Linked DNA regions of Rattus norvegicus. The protein of the gene in region 2 purifies or fractionates together with the protein of the main gene of each other region. This does not show direct contact. Links are inferred from orthologs where the notes say so. Each region holds a gene or a part of one and is shown on either strand. Other genes may lie near its edges.

Evidence for each region.
Region 1: the proteins of Nmnat2 (region 2) and Fbxo45 purify together in Homo sapiens (co-immunoprecipitation; 3 studies listed by BioGRID and IntAct, with this or other methods). This does not show direct contact. The link is inferred for Rattus norvegicus from reciprocal best matches to the Homo sapiens genes NMNAT2 and FBXO45.

Annotation. Positions count from the first base shown.
Region 1 is NC_086029.1:82,052,634-82,064,222, reverse strand, and holds the start of Fbxo45 (F-box/SPRY domain-containing protein 1), read right to left. Parts: upstream 7,767-11,589; 5' UTR 7,733-7,766; coding exon 7,406-7,732; intron 4,420-7,405; exon of another isoform or gene 4,277-4,419; intron 1-4,276. UniProt on the Homo sapiens protein: Component of E3 ubiquitin ligase complex consisting of FBXO45, MYCBP2 and SKP1. Functions in substrate recognition but also plays an important role in assembly of the complex.
Region 2 is NC_086031.1:67,786,495-67,798,212, forward strand, and holds the start of Nmnat2 (nicotinamide/nicotinic acid mononucleotide adenylyltransferase 2), read left to right. Parts: upstream 1-4,882; coding exon 4,883-4,955; intron 4,956-6,290; coding exon 6,291-6,379; intron 6,380-7,068; coding exon 7,069-7,136; intron 7,137-9,282; coding exon 9,283-9,361; intron 9,362-11,718.

The DNA.
Region 1 (11,589 bases), on a different chromosome or scaffold from region 2:
TACTAAGCCCTGTTAAAAATAACTCCTAGCTAGAGCTAGGCACGGTAACACATGCGTGCAGGCCTAACGACTCTACATCACTTGAGCCAGGTCACAATGAACAAGGGAAACAGAAAACTCCTGTTCAAAGAAAGAGGGGACCAATTCAACTGTCTAACTGACCAAATCCCAAACTAGTATAATTTCTACAAGTAAACTTAAAACGTAACAATGTACACAACTATTCTTGTACTTTATAGAGATATTACTAAAATGTTTATGCATAAAATAACTATAAATGGTGACTGCTTTGAAATAGCTAGAGGGAGAATGGGGTGAACATGAAACCAGATTTGTCCTGAGTCAGTGTTAACACTTGTGTGGATGGCATATGAAAATTCAGCACATCACTTTCTTTGCTTTTATTTACACTTAGGTGGTGTGGTTTCCACATCGTCAATGCTGTAATAAACAAGAATCATAGCCTACTGTGGCACACACTGAGCTCATTGCTGGGGAAGAGGAGGAAGGAAGAGCTGAAGTTTAAGGTTATCCACAGTAGATATCATGTTTGAGGCCAGCCTGAGCTATGTCAGGGCTGAGCTCACTGGTAATGTTCTAGTCCAGCATATGCAAGAGGAAAATATATGTGTGTGTTTTATATAAAATATTATATAAAGACCTTAGTCACTGCAGTTCTAAAGTGAAGAGAGGATTTTACTGACCACAAACTCCCTTAGACTCTCTGTTTACTCACTAGGCATTACTCATACACTGACATCAGCAGTCTCTTTTGTTCCAAGTTACATCCCCTAGACAGCACACAAACTCAACCAGAAGAAGCCAGGTACTAGTAGTGCAGGCCTTTAATCCCTGGAGGAGGCAAAGATAGGCAAATCTCTGAGTTCAAGGACAGCCTGGTCTACAGAGTGAGTTTTAGGACAGCCAGGGCTACACAGAGAAACTCTGCCTCAACAGAACAAAACAAAACAAAAAATAAATAAAATAAAACAAATTCAACCAGAGGACTTAAAAGGAGCAGCTATCAAGAGGATAAATGAGCTGACCTTTCATAAAGTTTTTTTTTAAGGTACTAACATTAAAACATTAAAAAAAAATAGCTCCTTTGTACAAATAATGACAAATTCTCATCTTTTAAAAATATAAAACTTAGGGCCAGGCATGGAGGCACATGGTTTTAATCCCAGCGCTTGGGAAGCAGAGGTTGGTAGATCTGTTTGAGGCCAGGCTGGTATCCAGAGTGAGTTCCAGGACAGCCAGGGCTACACGTAAGAGGGGGGAAATACAGATATATGTATTTATATGTGGATATATCTATGTATGTATGTGTGGCTGGAGATATGGCTCACCAGTTAACAGCACTTGTTGCTCTTGCAGAAGACCTAGGAACCAATTCCCAACACACTGAAGCTCTAGTTCTAGAGAACCTAACACCATCTTCTGGTCTCTGTGGGCACTGAAGGAACAAGGTATATACAGGAAGAACACCCATACACAAAATAAATAAATCTGAAGGGAAAAAAGGGAGGAGGGGGAGGTTACAGACCTAAAGAGCAACAGCACGCAGGAGAGCCTTAGAGAGCCAGGGACCCAGCTCCCAGGTCGAGGTCATTTTTCCACAGCCAGCACGTCACTGTCTCACTGCTGCTGTGCTGCACAGTAAGTCCTTGTTTCGGGCATTCTGTCTCCACAAGGAAAATGGACAAACGAAGCACTTTTTAATTTTTCCTTATCTGTTTCTGTTTATATTTTTTTTTTTAATTATGTGTTGGTGTGGTGTGGTGTGACATGGGCATCATAAACGTGAATAGGGGAAGGAAATCCCCACCAACAAGTATGATTCTAAATCAAAAGAATGACAAGAAGAGGATGAAGTTCTCAAGATAATGTTAAACTACGATTTCCTCGTCACCTATTCCTAGTCTTACAAGTTCCAGGTGCTTCTTCTCTAATTTTTCCCTTTGCCCCAGTGATATTAACAACCTCTTCCTCAATCTCCGATTTCGCTGAACTGATTCGACCACGTTCATTTACAGTGACTCCCTCCCTCTGCTCTCCAGAAGTCTCTTCTAAAACATTACTTCCACTGAATCTCATGGCAGCTAATACCTTTGGATAGCACCACAGCAACTGCTAGCCCTGCTTGGCTTCAAAGCCTTCCAGAGCAGGCTGCTGCCCTTTGTTCCCACCTCCTCGTGCCATATCTGCGTCCTCTTCTTAGTTTTCTACCGCCACCTCCATGAAGGTGTTCTTTGCCAGGACCACCCAATCCCCATCATTCCTCTCTCCTGAACTCCATTCACTAACGTCACACTTAGGATCTTGTTTTCTACCATACCTCTAAACACATGACTTTAGTAAAAAGTATTTTGTAAAAACCACCACTAACCAACCAACCAACAAACCAAACAAACAAACAGAAATGTACTGTAATCTAAACTGGTCATGCTTTGCACTGTAGAGTCTATAGGAAGGGACGGAGAAGAGCATGCTGGGTAACATTAAGGAAGGTAGATGGTGACAAATGAGCTGCAGAGGCGGGAGACAGAATCAGTCTGTTTACTAAGATAGCCTTAACAGACCTCACGACTCCTTCTCGGTTCTTTTTTTTTTTTTTCCCCCCGGAGCTGGGGACCGAACCCAGGGCCTTGGGCTTCCTAGGTAAGCACTCTACCACTGAGCTAAATCCCCAGCCCCATCACGACTCCTTCTCGAAGGACATATACAGATCCTGATTAGATAAGCCATAAGTTAAACTATATATTTCACATTTATGAGACAATACTGCAACTTCTGAATTAAGGAATTACTGTTAGTTTCATTTTGGAGATGACAGTAGCATTGTGATTATATTATGGATCTTTGTTCTTAGAACAAATACTGAAAAATTCAAATGAAATGAAAAATACCCAATTAATAAATTTTAAAGGCCAAGTATACCTACCTTTAATCCCAGCACTGAGGCAGAGGAAGGTGGATCTTTTGAGTTTGAGGTTAGCCTGGTTTATGGAGCAAGTTCCAGGACAGCCAGGGCTACACAGAGAAACAAACTCTATTTTTAAAAACAATACAAAAAATTAAAGTCATAGTTTCTGTCTCTTTCTGAAAAACGGAGGTTTCCTATTTCAACAGCATGAGGACCTAGCCCAGGGCTTCTGAGTGCACACTTTCCCCAGCTCTTAGCTCACCCTTCTTCTGCAGAGGGCCTGCCCTTTCTCAACAAGCTGTCTCTAATTCCACTTCTAAAAACAAAAATGAAAAAGGTCTAGCTCAGAATGTAAGTCTGAAAGTTAGGGTATACTTTGATACAAAATATTTGGGATGACTAAATACTACTTGGAAATAAGTAAAGCGTGAGTTATAAAAAAGAACATTTCTGGAATGTTCAATGGCACAGTGAGTGCTAAGCATGCCCTAGTTTGAGCAGCATGGAAGAAGGAGATAAGACAGAAGGACGGGGGCTGGAGAGGTGGCTCAGTGGTTAAGGACACTGACAGCTTCTTCCAAAGGTCCTGAGTTCAAATCCCAGCAACCACATGGTGGCTCACAACCATCTAGGATTTGATGCCCTCAGAGCAACAATGTACTCATACATAACATAAATAAACAAGTCTTTTAAAAGGTAGGGATAGAAAGGAAGGAGAACAAAATGAACCAACCAAACACTTCCCAGTGTTGTACTCTCCTCGCATTTGCTCAGCTGCCTTGGGAGTTCTGCTGGATGCACCTTCCCTCAACAAGCTGTTGGTCTACTGTCACCATGCAGAGTCGTTCTCTGTGGCACTCCTCCAGTTGTGTCTTTCTCTCCTCTGTATCCCATGGCCTGGTCTTTTAAAGCCCAGCTTTACTTCACTGTTCTTCTGTTCAGACTTGTATGGTTTTCCAGGTGCAGAATAAAGCCCAAACAATACATAACAGATTGTTTCCAAAGGCCCTCTTCCACGATACAGCCAGTCCCCAGTCACCTTTACAGCAGTATTTCCCTTCATTCAGTCCAACTAGAAATTCCTATCTTTAGCCTAGACTGCTTCTAACCCTTGGCTATCAGGAGCTGCCTATCTGAAATCTGACGAATATCTCAAAGACACTATGAATTCTGACCTTCCACAACTGAACTTGCTGTCATTTTCCTCCAAACTCTTGCTCAAGTGATACTTAGATTATATAAGCCAAATATCTAGGAGTCATCCTTAGCTCTTCCTTCTTCCTCGTCTTTATTTCAAAACTACTGCCACATTCTACAGATTCTTTAAAAAAACAACAACAAAAAAAACAAAACTGTTTGATCCCGCAAATTTCAGAGAGTACATAGATAATCCCAGTATCTTAATATTCTCTGAGTGAAAAAAATCAATTTTAATTTATGATGACCTAAAATCCTAGTGCCACATCTAAAGGCAATAGGAGGAACAGTCATCAAATTCTGTTACTCTATTTCCTAAGTTTGTCCATTTTCCCCCATCTCCTTCACTACCCTCTTTCTAGTGGATCTACCACATTTCTAAAATCGTATTCCAACCTGTTCTCCATAGTGGAGTCAAAACTAACCCACAAACTGATCATGGCACCACTCCCCACGGCCATTGTTCTTGCTTACAACTAGAAAGGCTTCAGTGTAGTGTGTCCCACTCCTTTTATCTTACTCAAACCAGCGTCACCTGCACTCTCAGAGCAACCACTGGCAGTCACCTTGTTTCTCATACAAGCAGAGTCCCTCCTCAGAGGCTCTTCTTGCTCCTCTTGGCCTCTATACTTATCTTTTAGGTGTCACTAAGCTTGTGCATCATGTCTTATAAGAAAGTCTCTTCCTGACCTCCGTACCTAGTTAAATCCTCCATTACTGACACTCAGAACAGATGTGACTCTCACTCATAATACTTACCAGATGCAGTTTCACAACGGCAGTGATCAGATTAATAGCTATTCCCCCAGGCTGGGGGATGCAGCTAGCACATATTCAATCCCCAGTACTGAAAAAAGAAACGCAGGCAGGGAGGCAGGCAGGAAGGCAGGAAGGCTTGTAGGCAGGCGCAGGCACATGAACACGCACACGCACTCTACTACACTGTAATCCCCACAAGGCAAAGTGTGGGTAAGAGTTTGCATTTTTGCTTTCCTTGTTTTTCTGCTCAGAGTTTTTCATAAAATTTAACATCATAAACCTCATCTTAAAGTTCAGCTTTGTGGCATCTTAATCTCAAACTTTTTCTCCACTCAGCTCCTAAGTTCTTCCTCCCCACGGACTGCTAGTATTCCTATACTACACTAGGTAGCAATGTGTGCCACATGTTAGTTATTTCCCTGTCTAAGGACTTCTACACTGAGTCCTCCTGAATTAACACTGCATTTTCACAATTGTCACCTACAAGAACCTGGGTAAGACAAGCCCACCTTGGAGCCGCAGTGCACGCAGCAGAAAGATAATGAAGATTAGAAACTTAAAACTATAATCTCTCCGGAAAAACCAAAATCAGTATCAATTTAGTCTGCAGTTAAGAGTGCCCCGGGGACTGAAGAGATGGCTCAGTGGTTAAGAGCACTGACTGCTCTTCCAAAGGTTCTGAGTTCAATTCCCAGCAACCACATGGTGGTTCACAACCATCTGTAATGAGATCTGATGCACACTTCTAGTGTGCACATACTAAATTAATAAAACCTTTTTATTTATTTAGAGAGCACATACATAAAATAAATAAAATCTTTTAAAATTAAAAAAAAGAGTGCCCCCTGATTTTCCTGTGTGTGTGTGTGTGTTGCAGAGGGAGGTCACATGTCTGTAACTCCAGCTACAGCAGTAGACATTCTAGATTCTGTGGGCACTGGTATTCTTCACATATGCATGAGTATGTGTACTTGTGTCAAAGAAAAAATAAGTACAAAAATATGATGGGGACGGTGGCAGGAGTGGTGGCACTTTTAGACTCAGAACTTTGAAGACAAGAGGCAGGTGGATTTCTGTTAACTTCCAAGCCAGCCGAGGCTGAATACTGAAATCCTGTCTCAGATAAATAAAGAAAGAAAAAAAGAAAGAAAGGAAGAAAGAAAAAAAGAAAGACAGACAGACAGACAGACAATTTATTTGGTAGTTGACATAATTGACAGCAGTGTTCCTTCTCTCATCAGACGAAAACTCGTCTTAATATATAAGAATATATCAGTACTGTGGCCCATCCTATAATCCCAGCACTCTCAAGGAACAGACAGAAAGATGGCAAGTTGGAGACCACCCGGACACACAGTGAGACCCTGTCTCCAAAAACAGACATAAAATATGTGTATACACATATTTATAATAATACATGTATATTAAAAGAAAGAGTGCACCTATTTCACATTAAAAATTACTTAGACACTCACTGGCAATATAGAATTAAAAAAGAAAAGATATATTTACTACATTCCTGGTCAGACGTCTATCATCTCTCGTATATGCTCCTTGTTTTGGACAGTCTCTCATTTTATGTAGCCCTGGCTGTCCTGGAACTCACTTGGCAGACCAAGCTGGCCCTAACTCACAGAGGTGCACCTGCCTCTGCCTCTGCCTCTGGAGTGCTGGGATTAAAGGTGTGCGCCACCACATCCAGCTTCATATGCTTTTGATGACTGCTATCCTGAAGAGCTACTATCTACCTACATGAACCTTAGTCCAAGGCCTTTTGTTTGTATGCTGGAGAATACTTGGTCCTGCCACGACCTGTTTGTTAGCATTTTAATTTTGTTATGAAAGCACAAGAATCAAGAACGACAACAACAAAAGCCCAGCAAAACAGGAATAAACATATTACATGACAAAAGAGACATCACCCCAGTAGAACTAAGAAAAGTTATCAATAACAGCAGGACAAGGCAGTTTGATGAGTTATACCGCACCAATGAGAGGAAGTAATATTAAAGTCTCTTTCTTACAAGTTAGTTAGCAGGATGCCTACCCTGATCATCACTTGGAAGCGTTAAATATTGTGGCCCTAAGAGAACATGGGTGAAAATAATGAAAACGTGCTTATTAATCAGAGCCAAGAAAGGGGATGGTGAACGCAAAAGCCCCAGCAACTAAACCCATTTTAAAGCGACCTCGAATGCATTAGTGCCATTCTACTTGGAGGCCAGGGAAAATATATGATCAAGGGTATCGGCTGGTCTTTAAGAGCAAAAACTGTTGAAAGTAGAGCTGAGGAAAATGAATGATGGGAAACCACCTAGTATTTTTAAAAGTGAGGTGGATTACGAAGCACAACTTCAATCCAAAGAAAAGATCGTTATGGAAAGGAGGGGTGGTACTGACTGGCTTAAGCCGTAGAAAGACGGGATGGTGAGATGAAACCTCTAACTCAAGCTTTCAAGGTAAACCCCAAGAACACCGGGCAGGAGAGGAACTGGGCTTCGACATGGCCCGGGATTCCCTCACCTTGGCCTTGTAGCTGGGCAGGTTGCAGAGGATGTCCGTGCGCAGAGCCTCTTCTGCTAGGCTGCGGGCGCACAGGCTCCGCCACACCTCGCTGTTCTCATCGCCGTGGAGGCAGCGGTACCAGTGCTTGCACACCAGGGCGCAGCTCCGCAGCTCGGACAGCTCCAGGTAGGAGAACACCAACTCCAGCACCCGGCTGGGCAACCGGCCGCCGATCCCGGAGGACGCGGATCCCGCGCCGGCGCTGGCGCCGGCGCCGCCGCTGGCGCCGGCGCCGCCGCTAGCGCCGCCCGAGGCTGCCCCAGCCCCCGGGCCCGGCGCCGCCATCGCCTCACCAGCCGGCCCGAGGGCCGCCGCTGCCGTCGCTGCGCCCCGTCTCGGCGCGGGAGGCCAAGCCTCGCCTAGAGACCGGAGCAGCTCGCTCACCGCCCCTTTCAGCGACAGCCGCTCGCGCCTCCACCGCTCCCGCCCCTGCCCGGGGGCGTCCGCTGCGCGCCCCGCCTCACTGAGGGCAGATGGCGCGGGCCACTCGGGTCCCCGCCCCTCGTAGCCGCTCAGCGCGGGCGCCGGAACCACCCGCCTCGCCCTGCCTGCCCGCGACGCGCCCCGGGATCCGCCATGCGGGTTGAGGGCAAGAAGCAAGGGCGCACGCCCAGCTCGGCCGCCGCGCCTCTCAGCCCGGAAGTGACTGTTCGGTGGAGGCGCCTCGCTCCCTAAGCTTGATGGGATTGGATGCTGCGCCTGAGGTCATCACTACGCGCCACCGGGAACTGGAAGCCCAGGTATGAGGCTGTTGGCTAGTGGGATTCTGATCTGTTCTCAAGTGCGTTTTTCTGTTTTTCCTCTAATGGCCTTGAGTCGGCTTTCCTTGGCCTCTCTTCCTACGGAGTTTCCCGTTTCATTTGCTTTCTGCTCATTCTCCAACTTTGTTTACGACAAAGTTTGCTAGCCAGTTCTTAGATCCTTCATCTTCAGTTCGCTTGGATCCATTAACTTTACCTTTGGGCAGTTGGAGACCTCTTGTCGTGGTCAGGTTAGATCCATTTTACTTTATTTTTTACCTTGAGAAATTGACATCGTCTTTTCCTGGCTAGGACAGTAGGGGACTCAACAGAACATCTATACAGTATCCATTCTAAAAGTAAGGTGGCTAAATCTGAGCAACCGTCGTAAATACGCAGGTTTTTATTATATTTGATATTAAACAAGTTTGGGTAATTTCAAAGGGTCATTTGAATACCAAGTGTCACAGTCTTTTGGACAAAATATAGTGAATTCGGTTCATCTCATAGTAAAAAGATTAAGGAAATATGTGTAGTTTTTTGTTTTTTGTTTTGTAATTTGTAATCCCAACAGTGGGAGGAAAAGAACCTAGCATTATTTGAACTTCAGTTCAAGGGGAGCCAAGCCTTCCAGCTTCACGAATGACCGAGGTGTACGCATACACACGCCATACACATAAAACAAAAGAACTACAGTGTGAGCCAGGCATTGATGAGATCTTTTAATCTGACTTTTATAATTCTCAAGACTATGAAGTGATTATTGTAATAGGGCCCACAGGCTCAGTAGTCAAGTCCAGTATTGTGCAATTTTTTGTAGCAAGAAACCTTGCCTGAGATCCACCTATGTGCAATCCACTTCCTGATTTTTAGTAAAAACAAATGAACAACAACTGCTTCCCTACTGGGGTATAATTACATGCTTATGCCTTGCTAATCCCTTCCTCAAGGTGTCTTCCACCAAGTAACCCAAATTTTTGTCTATTGTGTCTAGGCTAATGTCACAGTCTTTGAGTTGTTTTGGTTGTCACTTAGTTTCTCCACATCAGGACTAACTTTAGTCCAAATCTATGAAGAAATGTTGACCCACACATTATAGTAATGGCCTCTCTCTTCATGGCTCCTGAATGTTGAACCAAATTTTGTCTGAATGACAATTGCTTTTCCTTTAAATTTTGTGGATCTGAAAAGAAAGTAAAGAACTACATACATAGAATGGTTAGATTGAAAGGCATGGGCAAAGCACCATAGTACTGAGAGTATAGACTCTAGTTACTTGGGGACCCTAGGTGAGACAGATTCAGACGGTCTTTCTTTCTCTCTCTCTTTCTCTCTCTCTCTCTCTCTCTCTCTCTCTCTCTCTCCCTCCCTCCCTCTCTCTCTCTTTCTTTATTTCTCTCTGTCATCTATCTATCTATTTCAGGCTTGTACAAATGGATAGTGGAAATTCATAAATAAAGGTATGACTGAAAAAACACTGATGGCAGAGATCATCCACTTATCAAATACTTTATCTTGTCTTAAGACGAATCTTTGAAGTATCCAATGGTATCATTCTGCTCTCTTTTGTTTTTTTTTTTGGGGGGGGGGTGGTGCTTGTTTTTTAAGACTGGATTTTTCTGTATAGCCCTAAATAATCTGGACCTTGATATGTAGACCAGACTAGCCTTGGATTCACAGCCGCCTTTGTGCTAGTATTAAAAGGCATGCCCCACTGCCCAGCTTCATTCTGTTGTGTCTTTACCCCAGTTGTTCATATGACTCTAGTGGCATGTCGTCACACAACTAGAGCCAGGATGGTTTCAAAGTGTAAGAAGATGGCCTTCATCACTCCCTTCTTGTTACAGGTCCTTCACCTGCTCTTCATGAACCTCCCCTCCCCACCTCCCCCAGGACTTTATCCATTCTACCTGCTCGGAACTGCCCCCTGTGGCATTTTACCCTTTTAAAAGATTCCTTTAACATGCCCTACTTTGCTCTTACGCATTCCCTCATCAAATTAGGAGTTGGAGGAAATGAATCTATTATCTAATTAAACTAATCATGGTAGGATATGAGTAATTCTGTGCTTTAGGTGACCTCACAGTGCTTAGGAACTCGATAGGTGAGGGAAGTAATTTTGGCATGGACACATTTCTACAAGGCTGTCTGCTTCAAGTGTACAAAGTCAACAACAGCAGCTTGCAAACACTTCATTTCTAAATTGTTTTGACTTAACATATATTTAAATAACTTTCCCCTACTCTGTCATAGCACTCTGTTTCACACACACACACACACACACACACACACACACACACACACACACACACACACCATTTTTTCCTTTGAGGGTCTCAGTATGTAGCCCACAGTGGCCCAGAACTCAATATCTTCCTGCCTCAGCCTCCTAAGTGCTAGGATTACAGGTGTGCATGTGTTTAACACATTTGATACCCGGTACCCTCAGAGGTCCAAAGAAAGCACTGGATCTCCTGGGACTGGAGTTATTTGTTGGTTGTGAACTGCCATGTGGGTACTGGGAACCAAGGTGATCCTTTCAAATAGCAGCTAGTAAAGTTCTCTTAAGCACTGAACCATCTCTGTGGCTCCAAATGAGTTTTTTTTTTTTCTTTTTTCTTTTTTTTTCGGAGCTGGGGACTGAACCCAGGGCCTTGTGCTTGCTAGGCAAGCGCTCTACCACTGAGCTAAATCCCCAACCCCCCAAATGAGTTTTTTGAGGCTTTCTGAACTCTTTTTTTTTTTTTAAATAGACTCACTGATAGTTGTTTGTTATTTTTCTGACTATGTAAGTGATCAATAAATATTCACGTGATTCATTTAGTGTATGGAAATGTAATACCTCCCTTCTCATGTGTAGACCTGTACTGTTCTTGGATCTTAAAAGATTGATGTAGTAAGACTTAGTACTAGGGCTGGAGAGATGGCTCAGTGGCTAAGAGCACTTACTGTTCTTCCAGAGGTCTTAAGTTAATTCCCACCAACCATCTGTAATGGAATCCGAGGCCCTCTTCTGATGTATTTGAAGATAGCTAGTCTACTCACATACATAAAATAAATAAAATCTTTTTTTAAAAGAAGACTTACTACTAGACCTTTATGGAAAAAATTATCAGAACTGTATGTGTCTGTAATAGTCCTTTTAACTATACAGCCTGCTCATTGCCTAACTTCTCATGTTTTCTGTAGGATAGAAGTTAGCCCAAAGTACCTTTAAAATAGAGTTAATCCCTTTAAAACAACAACAATAACAAACAAACAAAACCAAAAACAAGGATAAGTAAGATTAGGAGAAAACCTAATAGTTTATTCCTGCTAGTCGGCGTGTATTTGGGTTTCCTGTAGATGTGTACTAGAGAAGCAGTCTTATATTTAACTAGAGATTTGTAGATTTAGTCCTTA
Region 2 (11,718 bases):
TCCCAGAAAGCCTCTGGGATCATTTCAGAAGAGGGAGTAGAAAGCTTCTAAGACCCACAGGTTGGAAACACTGTGTGAAACTATTTTCCAGACACACAAGCCCCATGCACACATAACCAATGAAGAGAGTGGTTAGAGTCATCCCCATCCTCACATCCCTCCAGCACCCATTGTGGACTTTACGCTCCGTAAGCAATTCCTAAATTGGGCCGAGCTGCAAGACCTCAGTAACTCTTCTGGTCGAGCTGCTTCGACTCAGTTAATGTTGGGATATTCCTTTTGGAAACCGTTTCTCTTCAAGGTACGGGACTTGAAAGCAAAGGGAAGGAGTCCTTGATCTTGGCTGAGAGAAAAGAGTGACAACTACTAAGACTATAGTAGGTGCTCCCTGGAGACTATGAATGCGGTCTGACGATCAGTGTGGGCAGCTCAAGGTCTCTTGGAGAAGGACACTCTATAGGAGTGAAAGTGGGCCCTGGAAGCTTCGTGAGCTTTCTGTGTGAGAGAGCATTTACTGCGTACTTATTGCTCAAGAGACAAGTCGCCCCACTGGGTGTCTTTGGCATGGGTGTCATCTTATAGCACACTGGGACCCACATAATGATTTGAAGGCAATGTCCACATTGTTTGGCCTACATGCAGCTCAGTGTGAATCATCTTTGGTCCATTTTGGCTCTCATACGATATGTTGACCTCATGCCCACTCTGGCTGTGCACTTTGAGAAATCCATAAAACAGGGGAGGAGCTGAGAGGATTCCCAGCTTTGAACTGGACGCATAGTGAAGTGTTCCGAAGGCGAGTCCAGGGGGCAAGAGGGTGCTGGTTGGACCAGACATGTTGGGCATGAGAAAGAACTGGGCTCCTAATGAAATACATGGATAAGAAAAGAGTAAACAAACTCTCGTTGGATAAAAGGCAGAGTAAGGAAGAGTGGCTCACGGCAGCTGATGGTCAGTGACAGCCAAGGGCCAGATGGATCTGATTCTGAGAAAGGCAGGAGCGAAGGGCCCAGAGATGGAAGGAGGGCTGTGAAACACTCATTCAAATATCAAAATAAAACCTAGCAGATGAAGTGATAGTGTTTGTTTAGAAAGCAAAGTTAGGGGAGGAGAGTAGGCATAATGGTTAAAAAAAAAGAGAAGAAACGAAAAGAAAAGAAAAGAAAAGAAAAGAAAAGAAAAAAGCTGGTTGTTCTTGCTGAGGACAAGAGTTCAGTTCCTAGCATCCATGACAGGCCACTCTCAAATACCTGTAACTCCAGATTAGGGGGACCTGATGCCCTTCTTTGGGGGCAACTGTACCCATGTGCACATCTACACATGCACAGACACATGTCTGTGCACACAACACACACACACACACACACACACACACACACACACACACACACACACACACTGTAGTAGTTTAAATGAGAAATGTTCCCAATAGTGCCGGGTATTTGAACACTCGGTCCCTGTTTGATGGCACTGTTTTGTGAGGGGCTAAGGAATCTGTAGGACAGGGAGCGCTGCTGGAGAAAGCAGTCACTGGGGGCTGGCGTTGCGAGTTTGCCCCACTTCCAGTTCACTATGGTTCTGTGTGGACATGTGAGCTCTAAGCTCCCTGTCCTCGCTACCATGCATACCGGCTGCCATGCCATCTCTACCATGGAGGACTGTGGCCTTCTGAGATTAAAAGCCAAAACAAACTCTTTTCTTTTTTTCTTTTTTCTTTTCTTTCTTTTTTTTTTTTTTTTTTCGGAGCTGGGGACCGAACCCAGGGCCTTGCGGTTGCTAGGCAAGCGCTCTACCTCTAAGCCAAATCCCCAACCCCCAAAACAAACTCTTTTATAACTTAGTTTTAGTCATGACAAAGTTTTTGTCACAGTAATTAGGGAAGCACTGGCTATTCTTCCAGAACACCTGGGTTCAATTCCCAGCACCCACATGGCAGCTCACAACTATAACTTCAGTTGCTTGGGATCCAGCACCCTCACACAGATCCACATACAGGCAAAACACCAATGCACATGAAATGAAAAATAAATCGTTCTTCTTTTTTTTTTTTTTTTTTTTTTTTGGTTCTTTTTTTCGGAGCTGGGGACCGAACCCAGGGCCTTGCGCTTCCTAGGTAAGCGCTCTACCACTGAGCTAAATCCCCAGCCCCAAATAAATCGTTCTTTAAAAAGTAAAATCAACCTTAAGTAAATGGATACCAGAGTGATGTACCCATTAGAATGACTAAATGTGCAAACCCAATAGAATCAAAAGTTAGCAGGAATGTGGAACAGCCATTGTTCTTATTGACTGCCGGTGGTAGGGATGCAAAACGGTACAGCCAGCACGGAAGAAAAAGACAGTTGCTTCCAGCACTAAATATATTCTCCCCATATGATCCAATGAGCTGATTCCTACATATTTACCTGAAGGCACACTGTACCAACACCCACAGGATTATAGCTTTGTCTATAATCACCAAAAAAGCTGGGAGTAATGACAATGTTTCTCAGTGGGTAGATGGACAAGCAAACTGAGAATCAGCTAGATGATGGAATATTATTCATTAATGAAGAAAAATAAACTATTTGACCGTGGTAAGTGTCTTCATTTGGTTTACTACCGTAATGATGAAACACCTGGACCAAAGCAACCCAGGAGGAAAGGGTCAGTTGGGCTTAGACTTCCATATTACTGTTCGACACCAAAGGAAGTCAGGACAACAACTCAAACAAGGCAGGAACACGAAAGCAGGAGCTGATGCAGAGGCCATAGAGGATGCTGCTTACTGGCCTGCTCCTCATGGCTTGCTCAGCTTGCTTTCCTATAGAATCCAAGACCACCAGCCCAGGGATGGCACCACCTACAATGGGCTGGGACCTCCTACATCCTACAGGCTTGCCTACCGTCTGATCTTACGGAGACATCCTCTTGATAGAGGTTCCCTCCTTCCAGATGACTTTCGCTTGTGTCAAGTTGACATAAAACTAGCCGGCACAGTAAGACATGAAGACCTTAAATGCATAGTGCTTAATGGAAGGACCCGAAGAGACTAGATGGTGTGTATCACTCTGACTACCTCGCAGTAAGCAATTTCAAACAAAATGGGTTGGGGATTTAGCTCAGTGGTAGAGCACTTGCCTAGCAAGCGCAAGGCCCTGGGTTCAGTCCCCAGCTCCGAAATAAAGAAAAGAAAAAAAAAAAAAAAAAAGGAAAAAAAAAAACAAAAAAAACCCCAGCGTGGTTGGCAGAGGTCAGGGTGAGAAGGGATGAATAGGTGTGGCACTATATGTGGGGCGTGTGGGAGTGACCTAGCGGAGGGAAAAGTGGGATGGAGAGCTAAGCACCATGCCTCCTGCTCCTGCGCCTGCTCCTGGGCCTGCGGGAGGAATCCTAATCCAGCTGCACTCCAGCTGCACACAGCCTTATCTAAAGCGGCTCCTGGCAGAACCCGCAAACCGATGAGACAGAACAATGGACCAGAGCCCAGGGCTGTAGCAGTTTCCACTTCCTGTCTTCACAGAAATCCCCCTCCTCCCACCTCCGGGCGATCCATTCTCTCCCCTACAGAATTCCCTATAGAGCAAATTAGATCCAACAGGACATCGGATGTAATCTCCCCTACCTTTGCCCCTTGGTTATGTAACCTCAACTCTTATTGGCTGAAGAGTTGTATGTAAGTTTTTGTACGGCTAGATTTGTACTCCTATGCTAGTCTCCCGAGTCTGTGGGAGTCTCCCGAGTCTCTGTTTCTCCCTATTTCCCAGTCCCGGTTCTGACAGCTATAGACTTTAGGCAGTGAAATAACACTCTGTGTGGTGCTTCATGATAAATGTGTGTCTCATACTTATCAACACATGGAATTCTAGAGCACAGGATTAATCTTAATGCAGACCAAGCACAATAGCTAATCAACTGGCACAAACATTCTGCACAAGGGAAGGTCATCGCTGGGGAACCTGTGTGGGAGAGAAGGAAAAGGAGCTGAGCTAAATTATAGGCGAAATATTTCCATTTACTCCAAATTTTTTTCTAAAATGGTATTAAAAAGTAGTGAATTCATTTTTTTTTTACAAAAAGCTTTGACATTGAAGGGATAAAAGAAGCAACTGTGGCAGGAATAATTTTTTAATACACAGAGAGCCACCAAGGTCATGAAAACTTAATTGTAAAATCTACAACCAGTCTTGCTGCCCAACTCCTCCTTCACTCTGGGATTCTCCCACCGCAGAGTTCCCACCTCAGGGTGCCAGCATGGCTCAGTTGGTGAAGTGTTTGCCTCTGGCTGGAGGACCTGACTTTGATTCTTAGCACTCACTCACAAAGGCAGGCTTGGGGATGAAGAGGTGTCTCAGAAGTGAAGAGCATTGGCAACTTCCGCAAAGGTTCCAGCACCCAAATGGCATCTAACAACCAGATCCAGGGGGTCTGAAGCCCTCTTCTGGCCCGAGGGCACCAGGCACGTACTTGGTGTGCATACATGCATACATATATGCAAGCAGAGCTCTCATTAAAATCCATGGCAGAGTCACACATGGTGACACATACCTAAGCTCTCAGTGGGTAGAGACAGTTGGACTTTGTGAGTTCGAAGACAGCCTGTGAAAGACCCTCGCTCTAGTCTCGGAATGGCGTGCCCCAGGAAACACGAGAGACCGGTCTTGATGTAAAAGCAAGAGGCCGTTTAATAATAACGAAGCTTCGGGCCGACATGTATCTCACGCAGGAGACAGGGGAGTCGATCCCGAAACTTAAAAGTTGGGGGTTTATATAGGGAAAGCTAGGGCGTTTTGGCGGGGTTACACACGATTGGCTCATTCAAACATAGCAGTGAGAACAAAGAGAAAGAGTACGTGCTAGAAGTCAGGGGCTTATCAGGGTCTGGAGGACACCTAGTTAAAGCATGGCCCTGAGTGAGCTGGGGGAGGTGTCTTCCTGCCAGGTGTTCTATGAATCAGTCCTGGTAACTCGGGCTGGTTCCTGCATTCCTTTTCTTATTCTTTATGGCCTGCTAGTCCTGCCTGGACAGTGTTTAGCCCTGAGTCTGTGGATTTTGAAGCTTACTTTTTTAATTTTTTCCTTTCACCTGGTCTACAAAGCGAGTTGCAGAACAGATAGGACTGTATGCAGAGAATTCCTGGGTCAAAAAACAAAACAAAAAACAACAAAAGCATAATGTCAAGGATCTGTAACCCCTGTACTTTGGGGAGCAGAGGGGTTCACTGGCCAGGCTAGTTTGGACAGTTAATGACCACCAGGTTCAGGAGAGAAGTTGTCTCAAAAATAAAGCAAAGGGGGCTAGAATGTTGGCTTGGAGATTTAATGAGCACTGTACCCCCAGAGCGGCACCTGCGTTCACTTCCCAACATCTACATGTGGCTCACAAGCACCTATTGCTCCAGCGCCAAGGGATCTGATGCCCTCGTCTGGACTTTCTCAGACATCTACACACACTTGGGTGTGAGTGTGCATGCACACAATCAAAAAGTAAATATTTTTGTAAAAGTAAGGCAGAAAGACAATGAGGAAATCCATTTTGGCCTCCACAAGAGTACATTAACCCATACACCAAAAAAAAAAAAAAATGAAAGAATTGAAAATAAACAACACAGTAGAGTTTGTTCAATGGGCTCCCTTGGAAATAAAACAGGACTAGACTCTTAAAGCTCCCCTAGTTCATTAGTTTTTCTCATGGAAGGGAACCCGGCCTTGCCTGGTCAATTTGGAAAAGCAAATGATGCTCTCAAGGAGGCTTTTGTTTGGCCAGGCATTTTCTCAAGCAACTGTAATCTTGCTAAGTACCAGGCTGATTGTTAATTCTCCACGATTATGTACAGGGCCCTTTAAATTTGTTTTCCTGTTTCTTCCTTCTTGATAATTAGATGAGGCAATCAGAGCATCTTTCATATTCTAAGGAGACTTCACTTTTCTGTTAGGGGATGGTTCCTCTCCAGAATTTCTGCAAGAGACAACAGGCAACAGGAGTGAATTCTAATCCCAAGCTTGAACACCTCTTAATGAGGTGACTGTTTTAAACCCCTCCAGCTGCGTGGTTCCTCCAACACAGACCCCCTACCCCTACCCCCGACACTGGGTTAAGCCCCATGAATTCTCAATCCTTTCATTTCTGGGGCTAAGGTCCACCTCCCTAACCTTTCAGTCACCAATATTTGCTTCGAGGTTGACACCTTCTATTTAAATAGCAAGCACCAAACCTTGGCGGGTTCAGTGCCGAACAGATTGATTTCAATTATCACCTTTAATCCACACCTTTCCTCTCTTGTAATGTGCAGTTTTCTTCTCTTAATTAGAAAGAGCCAGGGATTATCTGCACAAGACTGGAAGATTTATTGTGATTGGTGGTATTGTCTCTCCAGTCCACGACTCCTATGGAAAACAGGTGGGTCCCTTCCTTTGCCCTCTCTTCTTCCTCACCTGATAGCTCCCCTGGATAAAACTGCCCTACTGTCCTCTCTGAGGAAATTCCTGGAAATGCTAAATGCCTAACTAACAGCATTTGGTTTCCCTCCCAGGACCACTGTCAGACGTGGGTATCTGGCTACAACCAGAGGGCCAGCTGCCCACCATAGCCAGCCAGCTGCTCACAAAGAGGAGTGAGCCTGCTCAGTGCAACTGTGCTGGGTTCCAGACTGGCAGCAGTTTAGAAGTTGAGCTGCATTGGAAAAATATTTTCCAAGATTTTTATTTTGGAAAAAAAGCATCCCAATGCCTCTTATGTGGGAACTCTCCCAGCCATTCCTGTTTCTCCCACAGTTACTGTAATCACCAGACTAGGTTTAACCTAGGTCAAACCTATGCAGAATGGCCAAGTGGGCATTGGCTGGTTCGGACCCAGATGCAGTGGGATACACCACATACCTTTCACACACACACACACACACACACACACACACACACACGCACACACACACACAGCATCACCCAGTGTCTGTGTATCAGGGGTACATTCCTCATTTGCTCTCACCATCAAACATGGCCACACTTTGTAATGGGGTGGTTTGGGCTGGTGTTCCTCGGCACTGTGGAAGGCTGAGGACACCTCCTACTCATGGTTTTGTTGCTTCCTAGGGTCTTGTGTCAAGTCGGCACCGTCTCATCATGTGTCAGCTGGCTGTCCAAAATTCTGACTGGATCAGGTAGGGCTGGAATGATGATGTAAGAGCCAGGTGGCCCTGGGCTCACCGGCAAGGAAAAGGAATTTGGGACCTATAAGGGTGAGAGAATAGGAGAGGTATTAGCCCTGTACTGACTCTAATTAGGTAGATCTCCACTGGAAGCCCAACTGTTAACTTTATTTTTGAACCAAACAATCAGGCTCACAAAATTTAAGAGTTAGCCTAAGGAGTTTCTGTCTGTGACTCCTGGGATGTGGCTCTTAGAGTTTCCCAAAACATCACTGGGGGAGGAGCCTGGTCCCCAAACCCCAAATGCCTCTCATTCACCAAATTCCCACTAAATTCCATTGACTCACCCATCACTCCTTGTCAGAGAAAGTGGGTGGCCTTGAGTACCACCCATTTCTGAATTCAGGGTCCCTCCGGGGTCCACACTGACCCCTAGACAAGGTGTGGGGCCTATGAGCAGGGCTCTCTAGGGCATCCCTACCACTGGAACCTGAAGCTCTTTTCTTGATTCTCCACCCTGCCCCCCATTAGACTCACAGAACCACTAAGATGGCAGCATTCACCATGCTCTGAGCCAGCAGTGTAATTACAGCAAGCTTCCACTAATTATGCTAATTATGTCCCCCAAGTTCCTACCGTTATAATTTGCATGAGAAGATGGTGTTTAAAAAAATAATGGCACATCATTTGCTCTTTAATTTCCTATGCTGGAAAAATAAGCAGCACCTAGAAGTTTCCATGAGGAGAGGGGTACAGACCTCAGGGTGCGTGAGGGATGCAGTTAACCCAGGAGGGATGGTCAGGCAGAACTGCAGGCAGTGAACGGAAGCCGCAGTAATAATTAAGGTCTGTGTGGACCTGCACATGATTTGTAGAGAAGCCTGACCCTTGAGGGACTTTCTTTCCGGTTGAGGACTGGAAAGTTGGCTCAGAGCACTCGCTGTTCTTCCAGAGGTCATGAGTTCAGTTCTCAGCACTCACCTTGGGCAGCTTACTTACTGCCTGTAATTCCAGCACTCAGGGATCTCACATAGATAAATAAAAATAAATCTTAAAAAAAAAACCAAAAAGACAGATTAAACGCTGGAGGACAGCCTATCTGTAATCAAGTCAGGAATAGAAACCATACCTCTTAATGCTGTAAATGAATGTTTAATTCCCTGTGGGAAATAAATCCAGGGGGAGGGGGAAACTGGCTAGAAGGCTGTTCCTGCTTTGACATTCTTAGAAAATTCTGGAATCATTCCTTGGTTGATCCCGTGAATGCTTACTGAGCACTACCACCTGTCTCACTGAGGTGACAAAGGGGTCTGAGGGTGAGCCCTTGGGAGGGAAGTTTTTAGCTAGCCCTTACCCAGGGCAGGTGGGAGGGGCTTGCTCACCTCCTATACTTGTGTACACAGGGACAGGGCAGGAGGAGCCAGGCAAGACAGACCCCTTTATTTTTACTTAGTAAGATCTCAACTCAGGAAACCTGAGGTGCCTGCTCATGGCAGGGGGTGGACAGGGATGCTCAACCGCTAAGAGAATGTTCTGAAATATCTCCGTTTAGCAGCTCATTAAGTTGGCAATTGAGGCCATGTGAGGAGGCATCAGTCTGAGGCAGGATCCCTGCTCACTTCCCAGCCTCCTGTTCTTGAGAAGTTAGCTGTCCTGAGGGCCTGCACCATCCAGTTTAGCTTGTCATGCCTTACTTCCAGCCTCAAGGCAATATACCACTGATGAGGTTCTTCTCCAGGGCTTGCAGCCTGGCGAGGCAAGCTTCAGTCCTTACCAGCCCCTGGCTCCCTTAATCCTTCTCACAATCCTGTAAGAGTCTGAAGATTTCCTTCTTCTATAGGAGACATCTTACTAAGCACTATGAATATAAAATTCACCTAGCCCTCACACTAGAAAGACTGCTGAGCTCAGGTTAAGCTCAAGTTAAACTCAGGGAGACTCGTACTACTCTCTTCCTTACCTGCCTATGCAAGATTCCTCTCATTTTACAGAGAGGGAAACTGAGGCTCAGGAACATATTCCACAGCCTGGTTTAACCTGCTTTGAGATCTAAGGACACAGCATGACCAGGCTTGCTAAGTTCCCTGAGCCTTGGGAGGAAGCAAGGTGGAAAGAGTGCATGAATGGAAACTGAGGACATCTTCTCTTGTCATGGCAGGGTGGACCCATGGGAGTGCTACCAGGACACCTGGCAGACAACCTGCAGTGTGTTAGAGCACCATCGAGACCTCATGAAGGTAAGGTGGGCCATGGCTGAGGGTGCATGGATGAGCAGGGTGCAGGAGAAGGGCTGATGCCTGTTGATTTGTTGGATGGCATCTGCCATCTGCTTCCCTCCCAGTTGTGAGGTAGACCAGCCTGTGTATGAAGCTAGAGAAGACAGTGAATTAGAGCCCTAGAGCATGTCGACCTTGCTGCCTACCTTCTACTCTGGCACAGCCTCCTGGTATGACAGGATGCTGTTGGGGCTGGATTTGGCATGGGCAGCTATCATCAGCTGGAGAAGCAAACTCTAGGTGGAATGAAGAAGACTAGGGTTGTAAGGGTTGGCGGTGAGGAGAAGACAGGGCAGGGGAATGTACCTCAGTTACTAGAATGCTAGCTTAGCATTGTGATACCCTAGATTTGATCCTTAGTACCAGATAAATTCTGGAAGTGGGGATTTGTACCCCTATATAGGAAGGTAGAGACTGGAGAATCATAAATTCAATGTCATTAGCCTAGGCTAAGAAACATTGTCCTCTTACCCTTTACACGTTGCAAGGTTCCCTCCCCATCTATTAGGACCCACGAATTCCCAGTCCAAGATAAGACGCCGTGTCCAAATGCTCCTTCATTCCCATGCATCCCTCCATCTAAGAACCTCATGGATGACAGTGTCAGGTCTGCTTTATTATCAGGTAACAAAAAGCAGAGAGAGGAGGCTATGTACCCGAGGACACGCAGTGGACCTAGGACAGAGGAGAGCTCCTGAGTTCCTTCCCCACTACAGTCTAGAACTTTCAGTGACCTAGGGCTGGCTGTGTACCAGCAGCCCCAGCCACAATATGGGTACAGTGCCCTCCATAGATCAATATCAGCCCGTGACCTGACCGACAGGCTGACAGACACAGCAGACTGCCCTTTGTGGTCATCTCCACACACTGTGTGGAGCATCTCCAGCCGTACGTTACCCAAAGGGGTCATTCTGATCCAAGGAGAGCTGTATCCCACTCCTCTCCTTGCCATTGGAGGGGCTGTCACCACCTTCTCTTCAATTAGCACCTCCTGGCTGCCCCGCCCTGCACCAACCCCACAACTGGGCTTCATTCTGCTCTGAGATTAGGGTCCCAGAACATCCGAGTAGACCAGCAGCAGGAGGAACATGGAGGACCAGCGGCTGCTACTCAACCTATTATAGTCCTCTGTGGGAGTAGACAGAACCTCTATCTTCAGAATCCTTCATACCTGTCCTGATTCAGTTTTTGATCGTCTTGGAAGGACTGTGAGACTTACTTACTCTCTGGGAAGTGTCCACAATGGAGTGATAAGACCGCTCAGAGCTGAACAGATAACTCAGCAGTTAGAGGGCTTACTGCTCTCACAGAGGACTCATGTTCAGGGGATCTGATGTCCTCCGTCATCTGTGGACACTGCTCTCCTATGCACCTGCCCACACACAGACACACACACATACACACACACACACATACACACATACATATATACACATATCCATACATGTATACACACATACATATATACACATATCCATACATGTATACACACATACATATATATACATACATAGGCACACATATATACATACACACACATACATACACAGATACACACACAGATACACACATACATATACACATACATACATAGATACACACACATACATACGCACACATACATACACATACATACACATACACACATATATACACACACATACATATACACATACATACATACATAGATACACACACATACATACACACATACATACACATACACACATATATACACACATTTACACATACACATACATACGTGACACATATATACACACAATATACATACACATACATACATGCACACATACATACATACATACACATACATTCACACACGCACATACATAGAAAGAATGATACAACTTTTTTTAAAGATACCTCATTTCCAGTATAAGAATGTGTCAGGATAGGTGAAAATGTGCAGTGGTAACAAACAAAATTATCAGTGGCTTACATCAGTTTATTTCTTACACTTGCCACTTGAGTTGGGGAGAGGAGTGTCATCTGGGAACCCATGTTCCTTTTAGTCACATGGAGGCCTTAAAGTGAGTTTCAGAAATGGAGAGTTGAAAACCCTTCTGGTATCCCTGAGCGCCGCCCTAGCCAAAATGGCCACAGGGCCTAGCTATTGTTGGGTTGTCCAAATGCCCAGGCTTTCTGGGCACTTCCTCTGTTACTCATGCCCAGAGCTTGGGCTGCAGCCAGAGAAGCACATTCTCAAGCTGCAGCTGCAGCACCCTGCAAAGGCCGATGATGTAGCTTACAGAGGGTCCACAGCCTTGCAGCCAGAGCTCAGTGCCGCTTCCTCATAA